Linked DNA regions of Rattus norvegicus. The protein of the gene in region 1 purifies or fractionates together with the protein of each later gene. This does not show direct contact. Links are inferred from orthologs where the notes say so. Each region holds a gene or a part of one and is shown in the gene's direction. Other genes may lie near its edges.

Region 1 (3,511 bases):
CCGGCTTTATGCCGGGTGCAGGTGTGGAGCACTGTGCTTGGTTCTTACTACCTTTTTTCATCGTGTTTGTACCTGCAGGTCCCAGGACTGCCAACGCCTATAGAGAATATGATTCTTCGGTACGTTAAGGCCAAGGCTGATTGGTGGACCAATACTGCCCACTACAACCGTGAACGGATTCGCCGTGGGGCTACTGTAGACAAGACTGTTTGCAAAAAGAACCTGGGCCGCCTCACCCGCCTGTATCTGAAGGCAGAACAGGAGCGGCAGCACAATTACCTGAAGGTTGGGCCAGCTAGACTGGGTGTGTGGGGGCTGGGTGGCAAGGTGGGCTGCAGAGTGAAGATGATGCTTTGCCTGAGTTTGGACAATAGTGGGGGATAACGTGATGTTCACCTTCCAGGACGGGCCTTACATCACAGCAGAGGAAGCAGTGGCAGTGTATACTACCACTGTGCACTGGCTGGAAAGCCGTAGGTTCTCTCCTATCCCGTTCCCCCCACTCTCCTACAAGCATGACACCAAGTTGCTTATCTTGGCTCTGGAGCGACTCAAGGAAGCTTATAGGTAAGGAGTGGCTGGAGGGTTCCTGTTGGGAGGATAGCAGAGAGAGAGTGGCATCATGGTCCGAGTTCACAGGAAGGTATATTTCCTTCTGGTTTAGCATCTTCTTGGGTTTTCTCATACACCTTTCTTTTTGCTTTGTTAGTGTGAAGTCTAGGTTAAACCAGTCTCAGAGGGAGGAGCTGGGTCTGATTGAACAAGCCTATGACAACCCCCATGAGGCTTTGTCCCGCATCAAGCGTCACCTCCTCACGCAGAGAGCCTTTAAGGAAGTGAGTGAAATACTCCCTAAGTTTTCTTTTGGCCTGTGCTACTTATTCTTGGCAGTGAGTGCCGCATTGGCTTGGATGAGTTGATGTGAGCCAGGCTCTTCCTCCTCTAGGTGGGCATTGAGTTTATGGATCTCTATAGCCACCTTGTGCCAGTGTATGATGTGGAACCACTGGAGAAAATAACTGATGCTTACCTGGACCAGTACCTGTGGTATGAAGCAGATAAACGCCGTCTTTTCCCGCCCTGGATCAAGCCTGCTGACACAGAACCCCCTCCACTGCTTGTTTACAAGTGGTGCCAAGGTAAAAATTTCTGGAGTTACCCTCTGCAGAGAAAGGAGGTGAATTGAGTTCTGTATGAAAATTCAGGCCTAGGCTGCATGGTCCATTTTATTACATAAGAGTGACTAGTACTGCCAGGTGGTAGTCCCATGTGCCTTTAATCCCGAGTTCAGGAGGCAGAGGCAGCAGCAGCAGATCTCTGGGTTTGAGGACCCCCTGGTCTACAGAGCAAGTTCCAGGGCATCCATGTCTACACAGAGAGACCCTGTCTACTAAACCAAAAGAAAAAGGAAGCGTGAATACCACTGATGTTGAGCAAAGCTTACACTTAGAGCAACCAGGATGGATGGATGGGTGGGTGGGTGGGTGGGTGGGTGGGTGGATGGATGGATGGATGGACGGACGGTAGAGAGTTTTGGAATGTGTAGAGAGCTGCTGAGGTTACTAGTCCTGAAAAGGTGTTAGTAATATGCCATAGCTCCGACATTTTGCTTTTTTAGGCATCAATAACCTGCAGGATGTGTGGGAGACGAGTGAGGGTGAGTGCAATGTCATGCTGGAGTCTCGGTTTGAGAAGATGTATGAGAAGATTGACCTGACCCTGCTCAACAGGCTGCTGCGACTCATTGTGGACCACAACATAGCTGACTACATGACAGCCAAGAACAATGTAGTCATCAACTATAAGGTCTGTCCTGGAGCCAGGAGCAAAGAGATGTGTTAAGGGATCATCTGGCCCATTGAGTTAGGATTTGCTAAGGGAGAATGGAGAAGATTGAACCCTGAAGTGCTTGGAACACAGCCAACCATAGCCATAGCTAAGAGTTGTGTTTTTTTTTTTTTTTTCCTTTTTCATTTCTAGGACATGAACCATACAAATTCATATGGAATCATCAGAGGCCTGCAGTTTGCCTCATTCATTGTACAGTACTATGGTTTGGTGATGGATTTGCTTGTATTGGGATTGCACCGGGCCAGTGAGATGGCTGGGCCTCCGCAGATGCCAAATGACTTTCTCAGTTTTCAGGACATAGCCACCGAGGCTGCACACCCAATCCGACTCTTCTGTAGATACATTGATCGCATCCATATTTTCTTCAGGTAATGATGCATAGCTCCTTTAACCAACAGGGGAGGGAGCTATGTTCTGCCTGTAATGTGGCTCTTATAGCTTAGTTGACTGCTTTTGGGCTATAAAGTGAAACGAAGCCTTCAGTTGCATAGAGTCCTCACTGTGGAGCTGGCGTTCTCGAAGGGTCCTAGTATATTTGGACTTCAACTATATATCTTGTCTTAATGTAGGTTCACAGCAGATGAGGCTCGGGATCTGATCCAGCGTTACCTGACAGAACATCCAGACCCCAATAATGAAAACATTGTTGGCTACAATAATAAGAAATGCTGGCCCCGAGATGCCCGTATGCGTCTCATGAAGCATGATGTCAACTTGTGAGTTTCAGTTGGGTTTGTGGGAATTACAAGGATGTTAGTCCTAGGGACCCAGAAATTAGGGAGGATTGAGGTTGTGTCTTGGTAGGAGGAATATAAACCTGTTGGGGTATCATCTACCTGGTCTTTGGATGCAAGTGTCTTCAACAGACTGAAATGCCTCTGTTCTCTGTGGATAGGGGTCGGGCAGTGTTCTGGGACATCAAAAACCGGCTGCCACGATCGGTGACTACAGTACAGTGGGAGAATAGCTTTGTGTCTGTGTACAGTAAAGACAACCCCAACCTGCTGTTCAACATGTGTGGCTTTGAGTGCCGCATCCTACCTAAGTGCCGTACCAGCTATGAAGAGTTCACCCACAAGGACGGGGTCTGGAATCTACAGAATGAGGTATATTCTAGGAAGGGCATCACTTCACCACCCCTGGAACTCTGGACTCAGTGGGGTGAAGAATGGCCATAGCTTTTCATTATCATCCTAGTGAGTTGGGTGTAGTCGCAGTTAATCTTTGCTTGATTAAACATTGTTTCTCTGTAAGCCTGGCTGGTCTGGAGTTCACTTTGTAGACCAGCCTGGCCCTGATTGTCTCAGCGATCAGCCTGCCTCTGTCTTCCAAGAAGTGTGAGGATTAAAGGCGTGTACCATCATGGCCTACTCCTTTATTTTTCCTTTTTTTGAGGCCGGGTCTCACTGTGTAGCTCTGGCTAGTCAGCTTAGCTTTGAATTTACCAAGGTCTACCCCCACCTCTGCTGCTTCCCGAGTACTGAGATTAAATGCACACTCTGCCATGTCTGATTTTTCATGTTCATTTATGCCATGGCATTTGTGTGGAGGCCAGAGGGCAGCTTGTAGTCTGTTCTACTATGTGGGTTCTGGGGATTGAAGTAAGGAACTAAGACTTGGTAACAAGCACCTTCGCCTGCTCTGAGCCATCTCACCAGCC
Region 2 (4,172 bases), on another chromosome or scaffold:
TGCACATGTACAAGAAGCAGAAAATAGGGGTACAGATGGAGAACCCCACTGGATGACAGAGGTAGACACGATGGACAAATCTCTACAAGGTACGCAGCAGAAAGACCTCTCCAGAGGTGAAGGCTGAGACAGGTGTCCTTCAAGGCCTCAAAGCCCTGCCCGCACACTCACTCCCACGGCAGAGACTGCTTCAGTTATACACACCAAGTTCACAGACTGCACCTCTCTCGGCCGTAAACCGGCAGAGGATCGGGGAAGAAACTAAGATGAGAACCTGACCCAGTGGTCACTCTGAGTGACAGCTGGGACAGTCATGGGCCACCAGCGGACGCGAGATCCAGGACAAATGGAGATTCCTAAGGGAGTAAAAAGGATCGCGTGCGCGGAGCAGAGTCCGGGGTGGAAAGTGGGGAACAGAACACTTACTGATGGAGAAGCCTCCCGGCTCTTCCTGGGCCACTCTGCAGCGCTCCAGCAACAGGGCTCCGAGGGGCTGCGCGAGACACGGCCATGAGCACCGGCCTCTGGGCCGCGCGGGTCCCCCGCGCCCCCCACACCCCTACCTCGGCCTCGTCCGGGCGGAAGTAAAAGAGGAAGTTGACCACCAGCTTCACCAGCCGCCTCTTGGCCACTGCAGGCAGAGGGCGGTGTCAGCGCGCAACTGCTGTCATCCGCCCACCGGGGAACCCCGCGGCCCGCCCAAGTGTCCCAGCCCCGGCCCGGACCAGCTCACCGCTGCCCTTCTTGGGGCCCCGCATGCCCAGCTCGGCCGCCATCTCTGCCGGCTGCCGGGACAGCGCTTGCAACTCTTTCTCGTTGTACCGCATCTCGCCGCCCGGATCCGCGCGAACCAAAACGCGCCCTGCCTCTCGGCCGCCGTCCTGCCCGAAGCCGCTACTAGCGCCACAAAAGTCTCAGGAAGCGACCTCGTAAGTCCCAACGGTGCTACTGCGCCTGCGCGTTGTTGGGCGTGTTGCGTGACGCTAGTTGGTGGGTCAGCACAGTAGAACAAGGAGTCGGACGGGAAGGAAATCGCCCGTCCTTAAATAACCGTCAGACACACTGAACGTGGGGTGTAAATTTAGACTCATAGCACCTCACGATACGCGAAGCTCGTTCCCGGGCCTGTGAACCCTGAGGTTTAAGTCCTGTCGCGATAGTCAGCGCCAACAGAGTTAGGGCGGAGCAAGAATTCGTAGACAATGCAGTGCGCACGCGTACTCCGTGTCCCGGCGCTCTTTTTTTTTTCTCCCGCCTCCCGTAGGGGGAGTCCATTCGCTGGGCATGCGCACACATGAAACTCCGCCTTCCTTGCCCCCGGAAGTGATTGCTCAAGCGGTCGTGCGCATGCGCACAACAAAATCGCGGCATTCGGGGAGGTTAAGCCCAGTTACCGAGGCCTTGGTGTTGGTAAGGAACTACGCGGTTTGTCGGTGGCGGCTGCCCCGTCTGTGGGTCTTGAAAGTAGGAGCGAGAGCGTGGGGCCTGGCGGGGCAGCGGCCGCCCTTTCCCCTTAGGCGTGGCGCACCCTCGCCCTAAGAGCGCGGTCTCGCGAGGTCCTTTGAGTCGTGGCGTGATCGCGGACTTTTGTGGCGGTTCCGTGGCCTCTAGGGTGGTTCGGGTTCTTGGAATGTCATTTAACCTGCTTGTTTGCCTCAGTTTCCCTCGCCGTTAGTCAGGGCCATGGCGACTACTGCTCCTGTCCACTGTAGTAGGTCTGTTGCTCGGATTAAAAGATAACGGTATATGCATTTAAAAGTGATTTGCGGGGTTGGGGATTTAGCTCAGTGGTAGAGCGCTTGCCTAGCAAGCGCAAGGCCCTGAGTTCGGTCCCCAGCTCCGAAAAATAGAAAAAAGAAAAAAAAAGTGATTTGCCTTTAGACCAGGCAGGCCTTCTCCCAGACCGTGACCTTAACATATACTACTCTTCTGTTTCTATTGATCGTTCATCGGTAATCTTAGAGTAGTCCGTGAGGTCGCACGGCTCCCAACCATTCATCCTGGTCTCTTGTCCCAGGCTTCACTTGTGAGTCCATCCAGTCATCGGCACAATTTTACTTTATTTCAGACAGCGTCTCACGGCATAACTGAGGCTGACCTGGAACCCTGTGTGGACTAGGCCGATTTCGAGCTCACATACACTCCCATACCTCTGCCTCCCGCATACTGAGATTTACAGCGTGTGCCACTACACTTGACTGTTTTGTTTTAAGGAAGGTTTATTTTGACTGATAGTATGAAGGTGCAGTCCACTATGGTGGTCGTGTTACAGCCATAGTCAGGAAGCAGATAAAAGCTGGTATTGGAATCCCTTTCCCGTGTTTTTAAAGATTTTTTTTCCAAATGTGTGTCCATGTGGAGCTTCATGTGTGAGTATGATAACGTCAAGTCCAGGAGAGACTGTCAGGTTCCCTGGAGCTGGAGTTTCTGGTGGTTGTGATCTGCCACTAAGTCATCTTGCCAGCCTACCCAGCACCCTTTTGTCTTTTATTTGAGACAGATCTCACTGCACAGCCCAGTTTGGTCTCAAATTATACCCATCATCTTTCTACCTTGGCCTCTAAGGGAGCTGGAAGGAAATGTATACACTGCCATGCCCCATGTTTTCTGTTTCCTGAGGTTGGGAACTGTTGGTGGGCTGAGGCGGTAGTTCATTGGTGAGCGTTTGCAAAACTTTGTGCTCCATCCACTGGGCCAAGCAGTATGCTCACCCAGGCCAGTTTTATTCTGCTTTCCTTCCAAAGCTGATGAACTACATTTCTGCAGTGGATATCCATGCACTCAACCTCAAGCATGCCCCCCCAGGGGACCCAGTGCATGCTGGACAAGTGTTCTCCTTGAGTGGCACCGTCAAGTCTGTGGATGGACACCCAGCCTCCCTGGGGAGGCCAGCCACAGAGTCCTATGTTCTCAAGAGTTGTCTTTGCCTGAGCCTGGAGTGGTTTTCCATCCTGCTGCTGCTGCTTGTGGGTGCCCCTAACTCTGAGAAGCCAATTGATTCTCCCACCGTTTGGCTGTACTCTCGTGTCTGGCCAGCTTCATCTCTGGGAGTGTGTCTGTTGGTAGCTCTGGATGATGTAGACGATGCCCTTCTCAGTCTTTGGCTGAGTACAAAACATCTAATAGGCTGCTCCTGTCCCGCCACTTCAGTGTACACCTCTCAAGCCGTCCCTCTCAGCACCTAGAGCATCCTGTATCCTTTGCCTTCTGGCCTCTTCCTCCTTGACAGCCAGTGCTGTCAGTGGCCTGTCAGCCTTGAGCACACTCTAGTGACATTGTAGTAACTGGGTACCTGCCCTCAAGGTTCTTGGTCACATTTGTAGAGCCCCTTGTGCTATGGGAGGCACCAGTGATGATGACAAGAGCTGTCTCTACTTGTCTCCTGGTCGCTGGCCCTGGGTTTACTGTAGGTTTACCAGTAGACTGAGTAGTCTTAAGTGTTCTGCCTCAGGTAACACTGTCTGGAGGCTTTGGCTGAGCCTCCAAGGTGAGACCCTTGGTATCGAGCATTCCTTGTGTCAGGCAGAGGAGGGTGTGTCCTCTAATGCCAGCAGAGGTAGGCAGAGGCCAGCCTAATGTGTGAGGAGAGTTCTAAGATAGCCATGACTACGTAGAGACTCCTCCCTCAATAATAACAACAACAATAATAGTAATCATATGTTACATCAGGGAGAGGCGGCTCAATGGTAGTCACAGCACTTGGGAGGATCAGGAGGTCAGAGAAGGGATGGCTTGCATGCTGGGCCATCCCGCGGTCCTAGCATCATCAGCAGGGTTCTAAGCCTTAGTCTTCCTTGCTCCCCAGGTTTCTCCTGTCCCCTAAAGTACCCAGGCCTGCATCATGGACTTTCAGCACCGACCTGGAGGCAAAACTGGGAGTGGGGGCGTGGCCTCCTCCTCAGAGAGCAACCGGGATCGAAGAGAGCGCCTGCGGCAACTGGCCCTGGAAACCATCGACATCAATAAGGTGGGGGAGGGAGAGTCTCCAGGCCTGCAGAGCCCTCACCTTGCCCACCTTGGTCCTTGGGTCCCGGGGCCAGGCTGTGCGGTCTCACGGTACATTTCTTCACTCCCAGGACCCGTATTTCATGAAGAACCACCTGGGATCCTATGAGTGCAAACTCTGCTTGACTCTGCATAACAATGAGGTACCTGCCCACCAGACTTCCACC
Region 3 (4,035 bases), on another chromosome or scaffold:
TTTAGAAGGTTGTATTGGGTATTGTGAAAGTAACAAAAAGATATTCATTTGAATTTGTACTGATGGATGATACAAAAATAGAAGCTGTCATCTGCCATGTTTCTGTTGTATTTAATCTTTTGAGAATTTTTGAGGGACTAGAGCCAAGGAGCAGTCAAGGAGAATCTTGACATGAAGTGATACTCTGTGTTTGGGCTGATCATTAGAATTCTTTCCCCCCACACTTCTGGAAATAAATGCAATTGAGCAAGCACATAGGCTGAAGGGAGAAAGATACACAACCTCTTAAGTGTCACCTTCCCTCAACAACTTGCCATTACAGTGGAGTTTTAATGGATGCGCTATTTGTTGATTTCCTTCAGTCTAGGTGATTATGTCTATAAAATGTCTTTCAGGGTTCACTCTACTAAGGAGCACAGCAACTAGGCATGCTAGGGCATGTCTTTAATCCCAGCACTGGGAGGCAGAGACAGCACCTGATCTCTGAATTCCAGGCTAGCCTCTTCTACAGAGCATGTTTGAGGACAGCCAGAACTACACAGAGAAACCCTGTCTTAGAAAACCAAACCAAACCAAACCAAACCAAACCAAACCAAACCAAACGAGGACAGAGATAGGGTTAACATCTCCAAGTGCCTAATATGTACTCATATATACACAAACGGAGAGAGACTAGGGCAGAGGATTGGAGAAAAAATAAGGTGTCCAGTACGAATTCCTCCAATTTTCTGAACCCTATCCAAAACACCTATAGATTGAATAAATACTGTTCTGGGGTAAGTGGACAAAACGAGTCACAGTAAATTAACATGTTTCTCACCGCGGCTGGGAATCTGGCGCAACAACTGCAAATTCCTGTTCTGGAGTTATAAAATAATTGTGCCCTGCTCTGCCACTTACCAGCTGTGTGATCTTGTTTCCTTAAGCCTTCCTGAGCTTCAGACCCTAAAAACAAAAGTAAATACACAGCTGGATAGATTTCCTAATTAGAACTAGGCTTTTCCAACTTTCCGAACGAACTCCAGGCAGCAAGTGACAGCTTGAGGCTCATCTTCGTCCTTCGCAATCGCTCAGAGCGGCTCACAGCTAGGAGGAGAGGGGAGGAGCCCGCGGGGCGCAGAGCCATTCAGCCAATGGCACATCGGGCGGGACGGGAGTTCCCGCCTCCGGGCGGCGTGCGCGCGCACCACGCCGGCACGCCCGCCGCGGCGGCGCGCGCGCAGGCCCTGCCCTCGTCGTGGCCGCCATTTTAGCTCCTGGTTCGGGCCGCACGGAGCGGTCTGTGGTGGCGGGAGGGGTGGGGGTCCCTGCGAGTTGAGCAGCGGGCCTCTTCTGTGTGGATCCGGCTGCTGGAGTCTCTCTTCTTCCTTCCTTCCTAAGCGTCCGCTCTGGGAGTGCGAAGATGTCCAAGAGGCATCGGTTGGACCTGGGGGAGGATTACCCCTCCGGCAAGAAGCGTGCGGGGACCGATGGGTAAGACAGACCGGGTGCGCAGTCGCGGCTCGGGCTTTGTTGGCTTGTGGCGGGGAGCAGGCCCGGCAGCCGAGTCTTTGTCTGCCATCGGCCGGCTGGGGCGCGGGCCGAGTGTGTGCGGTCAGGGTGAGAGGCCTGTGGTGGCCACGAGGCCGCGGGCGGCGGGCGTGAGGAGCGGGCCGCGAGGCCTCGGTGCTCGCGTGAGGCCCGCAGCCGGGGAGAGTGTCCGGAATGGGGTGGCCAAGGGCACTGCCCCTTGAGCGGCCCCGGGCGGCGGCGGGAGCTGTCTACTTGGGGATAAAGACCAGCCGACCTCGGGGCGCACTGTTTGGCGGGAGACGGACGGCCTCCTTCCATTGAGGCACTTCAGAAGAGGCCGTTGCCAACTTCCGCCCTCTGCTTGCCCTCCCGCCATCTCCTTTATTTCCTGCTTTGCTTAAAAACCGGCCTTGCTAAGCATCAGTGGGGTAGGCCTGTGAAAATACGTAATCTCCCTCCGCTCTGTAAGTTATTTCTATCTCCTCCCGACTTTGGACGCACTTTTCAAAAAGTGATCTTAAGCGTGTTTGAACAAACAACACCCACGTGCAGATTGAGGAATGCTTACACCGATTCTTGGTCTGGCAGTTTGGTTCCTTTTCCTAGACTTTTGCAAAGACGGGGCATTTAGCATGTAAGCAGTTGTATTATCATTTTCCAGCTTTTCTGTGACAGTTCATACTTAAAATGTACTTTAGCTTATATTCCTACCCTTCCATTTTAATTAACTGTATGTTTATACTTTGGCAGTACAGAGATCTGTTTGGTTAGTTAAAAAAATATAACACAGAAGTCCGAATGTCCAAAACTGTTGTATGCTTTTATCATTTTCTTACGTCCTGTGACACTAGCTGTCAAGTCAGATGTGTGGTCTCTTGAGATTTTAAGTCTTTTGGGCTTGCTTTCTAACTACCAATGGGAGGTATAGGTCAGGATAGGATGTGTTCTGATGCTCTCCTTAGATTGAAATATTGAATATGGAAAGTAGGTTTGTTATGTTTTGATTCTGTAGTTTTTTTTTTAAAGCTTGTAATACTAAGCATTGTAATAATACAACATCCCAAGACAGCTAGCTATTCCCGCAAGCAAAAATTCCAAGCGTTCATATTTGAGCTCAGTCAGTTCTTAGGTAGAAATACAGCTCATGATTATTCTCCAAGGGAGAGCAACATTACAGTGATCTTTTCCATACTTTACAGTGGCATCTAGAAATCTCCTTTTCTCAACATGAAACATAAAACTGTAGTTAAACATTACCACCTGTCATAATGCCATTCTTATTGGATTGATAAAGTGTAGTGATTGTCACATTTGGCTAAGATGCAACTAATTTCCCACTTAGAGGTCACTCTGAGATAGTTCTTTTCAGTGTTTTTGTGTGTGTGTGTTCACTACTCAGTGCATTTATTTCGATTAGTGGCTCCACATTGATCACAGTGATCATGGTGATTTCTCTTGCTAATGTATAACATTGGTAAAATGGACTTTGGGTGTATCATGGTAGCTTCATGTTTTCTCTGAGTATTTAATATTTGTCAGTAAGTACAGGAGAGTTCAGTTGAAGAGTAATTCCTTAATTTCTAGAGATTCTGGAGGGCAGTTGTTGCTGTTTCGTAAGTGTTTTGAGTACTTTTTCTTATAGAACTGATTTTCTTTAGCAATGAGTTTATACAGTATTTGTGCTTGGTATCTATTGATTTTCTCTTCCTCACTTAGTTTGAAGGCACTTTTGACTGCCAGGGATTCTGTCCCTCCTCTCCTCCCTCCCTCCCTCTTTTCCTTCCTTTTTGCTCTTGTTTAGTGTATTTGACAGCATAGGCTTGTTCATTTTGTCACCCCAGCTGTCACCAGACCCTGTTGTCTCCATTCCAGCACACTTTTGTGTGTTTGGGTGTATGACCACTGCTTGTGGCAAGCAGAAGAAAACATGGAATTAGATACTTCCTCTTGACCATGCTGGCCCCAGGGGTCAACTCAGTTTTTCACTCTGAACCATCTCACCAGCTCTGGAAAATCTGAGGACATTTTTATTCTAATGGTTCTTAGTATTCCTGATCGAAACTCAATAATTATGATTCTTTGTAGGTAGAAGTGTGTTTCACTACAATCCTGTGGTAGCTGAAATTAAATAAGATGCAGTGAGCAAGAAATTTTCACACTTTAAGGTATAAAGAAAAGAGCAGTAAGTTACTCCAAATCATTATTTCCATCTTTGGAGACCATACTTATTCTTAAATACAAAATGTAATATCTGAGCTCTTGGAATTTGGGGCCTATTTGTGCAGTACTCCAGTTATAAGGCATATCTCTTGTCTTGCTCATTGATATTAAGTGCTTTCTTGGGTTTTTTTTCTATAGATATGTATACATATTAATGCCCATGCTTAGTAGTGTTTATATAAAATATCTGAAGTAGATGACTAGTTTCCATCCTTTTTAGCGCAGTATATTAGTGCCCGTTATTATTCCAAGTACAATTTAAATGGAACATCAGTAGTAACCAGTATTTGCCTGGTGCATTTC
Region 4 (4,211 bases), on another chromosome or scaffold:
GTCAGTGAAGAAAAGGTAGTGGAGCCCAGGCGGTAGGTAGCACCACCCACAATGAGCTCTTGCCACCTTTTGGTTTTGTTTCACTTAAGACTACATAGACCTCAACAACGCTGATAGTACAATTGTCATTGTGTATAATAACTTTTCAAATAGCATTTTAGCTTGCTTGGCAACAGATGTTGCATGTTCATACATCCAAAGACACATAGATAAAAACCACTGTAAGTTCATAGCTACTACACACATCATGTATAGAGCAGCTAACTATCTTTATAACATGAAGCCAGGGGAGAGCGCGAACGCAGTCCCCCACTACCACAAATTATGCAGTCGAGTTTCCCGCATTTGGGGAAATCGCAGGGGTCAGCACATCCGGAGTGCAATGGATAAGCCTCGCCCTGGGAAAACCACCTTCGTGATCATGGTATCTCCCCTGCCAGGTAAGTATGAGTTGCCTCCCCCTCAAGCAGGTTCCCCATCATTATACACTTACTTATAGTTACGGTGTTTTCTTCAATGTTCCTTCTCTACATCACATTCTTTTCTAATATTGCACCCTAAAAGCACACTTTACACAATGTAGATATTATCCACTAACGGCGTGAGCAATCTATGTTGGGGGAACCGGTAGCCTTTGCATGTACAATCATCTACATACTCCACGCCCCTGTGGTGACGTCACGTAGGCCCCCTCAGCGCAACTCCGTCCACTAAGGTTGTGGGGCCGGGAGCGGAGGGGCTTGTTGATCCTGGGCGATCAAGTGTGAAAATCAAAACCTAAGCTTCGAAGCCCTGGGCCGCCCAGGGTACATTCTACAGGCTCTCGGCAACGAGGAAATTTTAGCTCATTCAGTTTCTGCTAGTGGAGGGAATTCATCCTCATAGGACACAATTCCAAGAGATTCACTCTTGTTAAGTTTAACTAGTAAAAGAGGATCGGATTTCCGTGTTTTTTGTTTTTTGTTTTTCTGAGTAGGACTATCATACATTTGCACACAGCCAGTAAAACTAATAATAAATCAAGGGAGAAAGGCTAAGGTAACAACTTTGATGGAATAAATCAGACAGGCTAGTGACATACAACTGTAATCTCAGCTCTCCGCAAGCAAGTCACGGTAGGCAGAGGGAAGTCAGCCTGGGCTACATAACTAGTTGCAGGTTAGACTGGGCCAGTAAGACCGTCTCAAAACCGAAATAAAGCTTTAAAAAAAAGGAGGAGAAAGAAGAGACGAGTAAGAAGAAGAAAAAGAAGAAAAAGAAAAGAAAAACACAAAGACAACTGCTGTTTTCAGCGGAAAAGAAAACGCAGAGACGTGGTAACATTGACCCTCCGCACGCCCCGTCGCTGACATCCTTTTCCGTGGGACGGCTTGCGCAGGCGCACAGGAAGGACTCGCAATATGGGCGGAAGTGGAGTGTCCCGGAGGCTTTAGGGAAGGTGCTTGAGGAGTACACAGACACCGGGACCGTGTAGGCATCCTTAGGCCGCCATGAACCGGCTCCAGGATGACTATGACCCCTACGCGGTGGAAGAGCCGAGCGACGAGGAGCCGGCTCTGAGCAGGTGGGCCGCTGCCCCGCGTATCCGCAGGGCCTTGGCTGAGGCCGTTGTGCTTGTCGCGTCTGCGGTCCCTGGGCGCACGGTCGCCCGCTTCACTTGAAGGGGCTTCAGGGTGCCTGATGGGGCTGCTCAGTCTCTGGGGAGCCAGGATGGACAGCAGTTCAGGAAGAGGGATGTTCCGGAATAACGTGGGCCCCCAAGCGTAAATCCTTAGATGGAACCCTGTTTACTGTTTACTAGCACTGCGACTGAAGGCAAATCAGTTATCCTCGGCTTCGCATCTATAAATGGAAATAAATACAAGTATGGGACAGTATCTTAAGCTAGTGAGGCCACAAGCCTTAGCATGAAGTACTTATCTTAAAGACTGTCAAATAGAAATAAGGAAATAGTGAATGGACATTTTTTTTGTTATGATAGACATAAATACAAAATTCTTGTCTTCCATAGGTTTTCCTTATACTAGGGGAACTGAAGTGCCTATTTTTTGTAGAAGATGCCCTGTGATAGGCACTGAAGAAGTTGTGTGATAATTCTGGAAAGGTTGTATTTTTCCTACTTGAGGAATTTGCCTTGTTTATACATATGTGTAAAGCACATACCTTTTCTCCCCTTGCTGGGTATTAAACCCACGGTATTATTTTTTTCCCACGGTATTATTTTTATCTATATATATTTCATTTTTAAAATTTATTTTTATGGAGGCTGGAGAGATGGCTCGTGGTTAAGAGCACTGACTGCTCTTCCAGAGGTCCTGAGTTCAATTCCCAGCAACATGGTGGCTTTCAACTATCAGTAATGAGATCTGATGCCCTCTTCTGGTGTGTCTGAAGACAGCTACAGTGTACTTATTATATATAAATCTTAAAAAAAAAGAAAAAAGATCTTGGATCCCCTGGAACAGGTGTTACAGTTATGAGTTGCCACGTGGGTGCTGGGAACTGAAGCTGGGTCCTCTGGGAGAACAGCCAGTGCTCTTAACTGTCATCTCTATAGCCCCATATATTTCACTTTTTAATTTTAGTTTTTTGAGACAGTCTTGAGTTCTGCCTGGCCTGAAAGTTGCTCTGTAGACCAGGGTGGCCTTGAACTCAGTGATCCGCTTGCCTCTGCTTCTACGTGCTAGGCTAAAGGTGTGCGCCCCCACACTTGACTTGTTTTTTTCCTATATTAACTAGGTTCTAGAACAGTGGTTTTTAATCTTACTAATGCTGCAACACTTTAATACAGTTTCCTCATGTTGTGGTGACCTCTGACAAGAAAATTATTTTCATTGAGACTTCAAACTGTAATCTTGCTACTGTTATGAACCTTAATGTAAATATTGGGGTCATGACCTTCATTTTAAGAGCCACTGTAGAAGACTGTAGTTCAAGGCCTGGGCAAATGGCTTAGCTTGTAAAAGCACTTGCTGTGAAAACCTGAAGACCTGAGTTCTATCCCCTGAACTCGTGTAAAAAGCTGAATGTGTTAGTAGTATGAGTCTTTAATCCTGGCACTCCTATGGTGAGGTGAGAGGTGGAGGCAGGACATGCCATCTAAGTTTGAGAACCAACTAGCTTGCAGTATTCTGCAAGAAACAAGAAAGACCCTTTCTCAACAAGGCAGAAGGCAGGCTGGAGAGATGACTCAGTGGTTAGGAGCACTGACTGCTCCTCCAGAGGTCCTGAGTTCAAATCCCAGCAACCACATGGTGGCCCACAACCATCTGTAATGAGATCTGATGCTCTCTTCTGGTGTGTCTGAAGACAGCTACAGTGTACTCATATACACTAAATAATATTAAAAAAAAACCCAAAACAAACAAAACAAAACAAAACAAAAAACCAAAAAACAAGGCAGAAGGCAAGAACAGTTTCTCAAAGTTGTTTTCTGACTTCCAAATGCACTGCGCATACCTAAATACAGACACTATGTGAATACTAAAACAGTGAAGACAACATTGTATCATTGCAAGGATGCCTTTTAACTGCCTGTGAGTATACTGGCCTCCTTTCCTCTGTCCTTGGTGCTCACTGTGTATCTCAGGCTGGCCTCACACTGCCTGTGCTGTGCCACCACGCTGCCTTTTTTCCCTTCTGCCGTTTGAGTATTGAGACCACAGGTGTGCGCCAACACACCTCACACCCTCTTGCTGCTTGTGAGTAGTCACTGTCAGTTCCTTTCTGTCTTACTGAACCTCCTGGGTGCCACTCAGATGTTCTCCACTTGTACAGTGTTGTCATTTCTCGGGTGTCGTGAAAGTGGAGTTATGCACTATGCAACCTTCGGAATTTGGCTTTTTTCCCTGGAGATTTGCCTGTGGTAGTGTGTTGTGTGGATCTTACAGTTTTCCCCCATCCCTACCCTCCTTTGTTGTGCTAAGAATTGTAAGGATCAGGTCCAGGGCTTTGTACCTGCTAGGCAACTGTTCTGTCCAGAGTTACATCCCGGAGTACTGAGATGTAGTTCTTCTCCCTTTCCTTTTTCCTTTTTTGGTTTTTGAAGACAAGACCTCTCTGCAGCCTTGATTGTCCTGGAACTCATTCTGTAGACCAAGTTGGCCTTGAACTCAATAGATCAGTCTGCCTCTGCTTCCAGAGTGCTGGGATAAAGGCATGTGCTACCTCCTTACTGTTACTACTAATACAGGCTCTCATGTATTCTGGGC

The links. The genes of interacting proteins can lie anywhere in the genome.
Region 2: the proteins of Prpf8 (region 1) and Sf3a2 purify together in Homo sapiens (affinity purification with mass spectrometry; 3 studies listed by BioGRID and IntAct, with this or other methods). This does not show direct contact. The link is inferred for Rattus norvegicus from reciprocal best matches to the Homo sapiens genes PRPF8 and SF3A2.
Region 3: the proteins of Prpf8 (region 1) and Dhx15 fractionate together in Homo sapiens (co-fractionation; 3 studies listed by BioGRID, with this or other methods). This does not show direct contact. The link is inferred for Rattus norvegicus from reciprocal best matches to the Homo sapiens genes PRPF8 and DHX15.
Region 4: the proteins of Prpf8 (region 1) and Eapp purify together in Homo sapiens (affinity purification with mass spectrometry; 4 studies listed by BioGRID and IntAct, counting the BioPlex papers as one, with this or other methods). This does not show direct contact. The link is inferred for Rattus norvegicus from reciprocal best matches to the Homo sapiens genes PRPF8 and EAPP.

Annotation. Positions count from the first base shown.
Region 1 is NC_086028.1:60,836,275-60,839,785, forward strand, and holds part of Prpf8 (pre-mRNA-processing-splicing factor 8), read left to right. Parts: intron 1-78; coding exon 79-285; intron 286-403; coding exon 404-567; intron 568-709; coding exon 710-836; intron 837-946; coding exon 947-1,139; intron 1,140-1,618; coding exon 1,619-1,806; intron 1,807-1,980; coding exon 1,981-2,219; intron 2,220-2,420; coding exon 2,421-2,567; intron 2,568-2,746; coding exon 2,747-2,957; intron 2,958-3,511. UniProt on the Homo sapiens protein: Plays a role in pre-mRNA splicing as core component of precatalytic, catalytic and postcatalytic spliceosomal complexes, both of the predominant U2-type spliceosome and the minor U12-type spliceosome.
Region 2 is NC_086025.1:9,563,399-9,567,570, reverse strand, and holds the start of Sf3a2 (splicing factor 3A subunit 2), read left to right. Parts: upstream 1-1,371; 5' UTR 1,372-1,410; intron 1,411-3,805; 5' UTR 3,806-3,841; coding exon 3,842-3,967; intron 3,968-4,076; coding exon 4,077-4,148; intron 4,149-4,172. Other genes in the region: Plekhj1 (pleckstrin homology domain-containing family J member 1), read right to left, coding at 427-493, 734-983, 1,097-1,275. UniProt on the Homo sapiens protein: Component of the 17S U2 SnRNP complex of the spliceosome, a large ribonucleoprotein complex that removes introns from transcribed pre-mRNAs.
Region 3 is NC_086032.1:62,998,664-63,002,698, forward strand, and holds the start of Dhx15 (ATP-dependent RNA helicase DHX15), read left to right. Parts: upstream 1-1,234; 5' UTR 1,235-1,402; coding exon 1,403-1,473; intron 1,474-4,035.
Region 4 is NC_086024.1:77,926,114-77,930,324, reverse strand, and holds the start of Eapp (E2F-associated phosphoprotein), read left to right. Parts: upstream 1-1,410; 5' UTR 1,411-1,490; coding exon 1,491-1,564; intron 1,565-4,211. UniProt on the Homo sapiens protein: May play an important role in the fine-tuning of both major E2F1 activities, the regulation of the cell-cycle and the induction of apoptosis. Promotes S-phase entry, and inhibits p14(ARP) expression.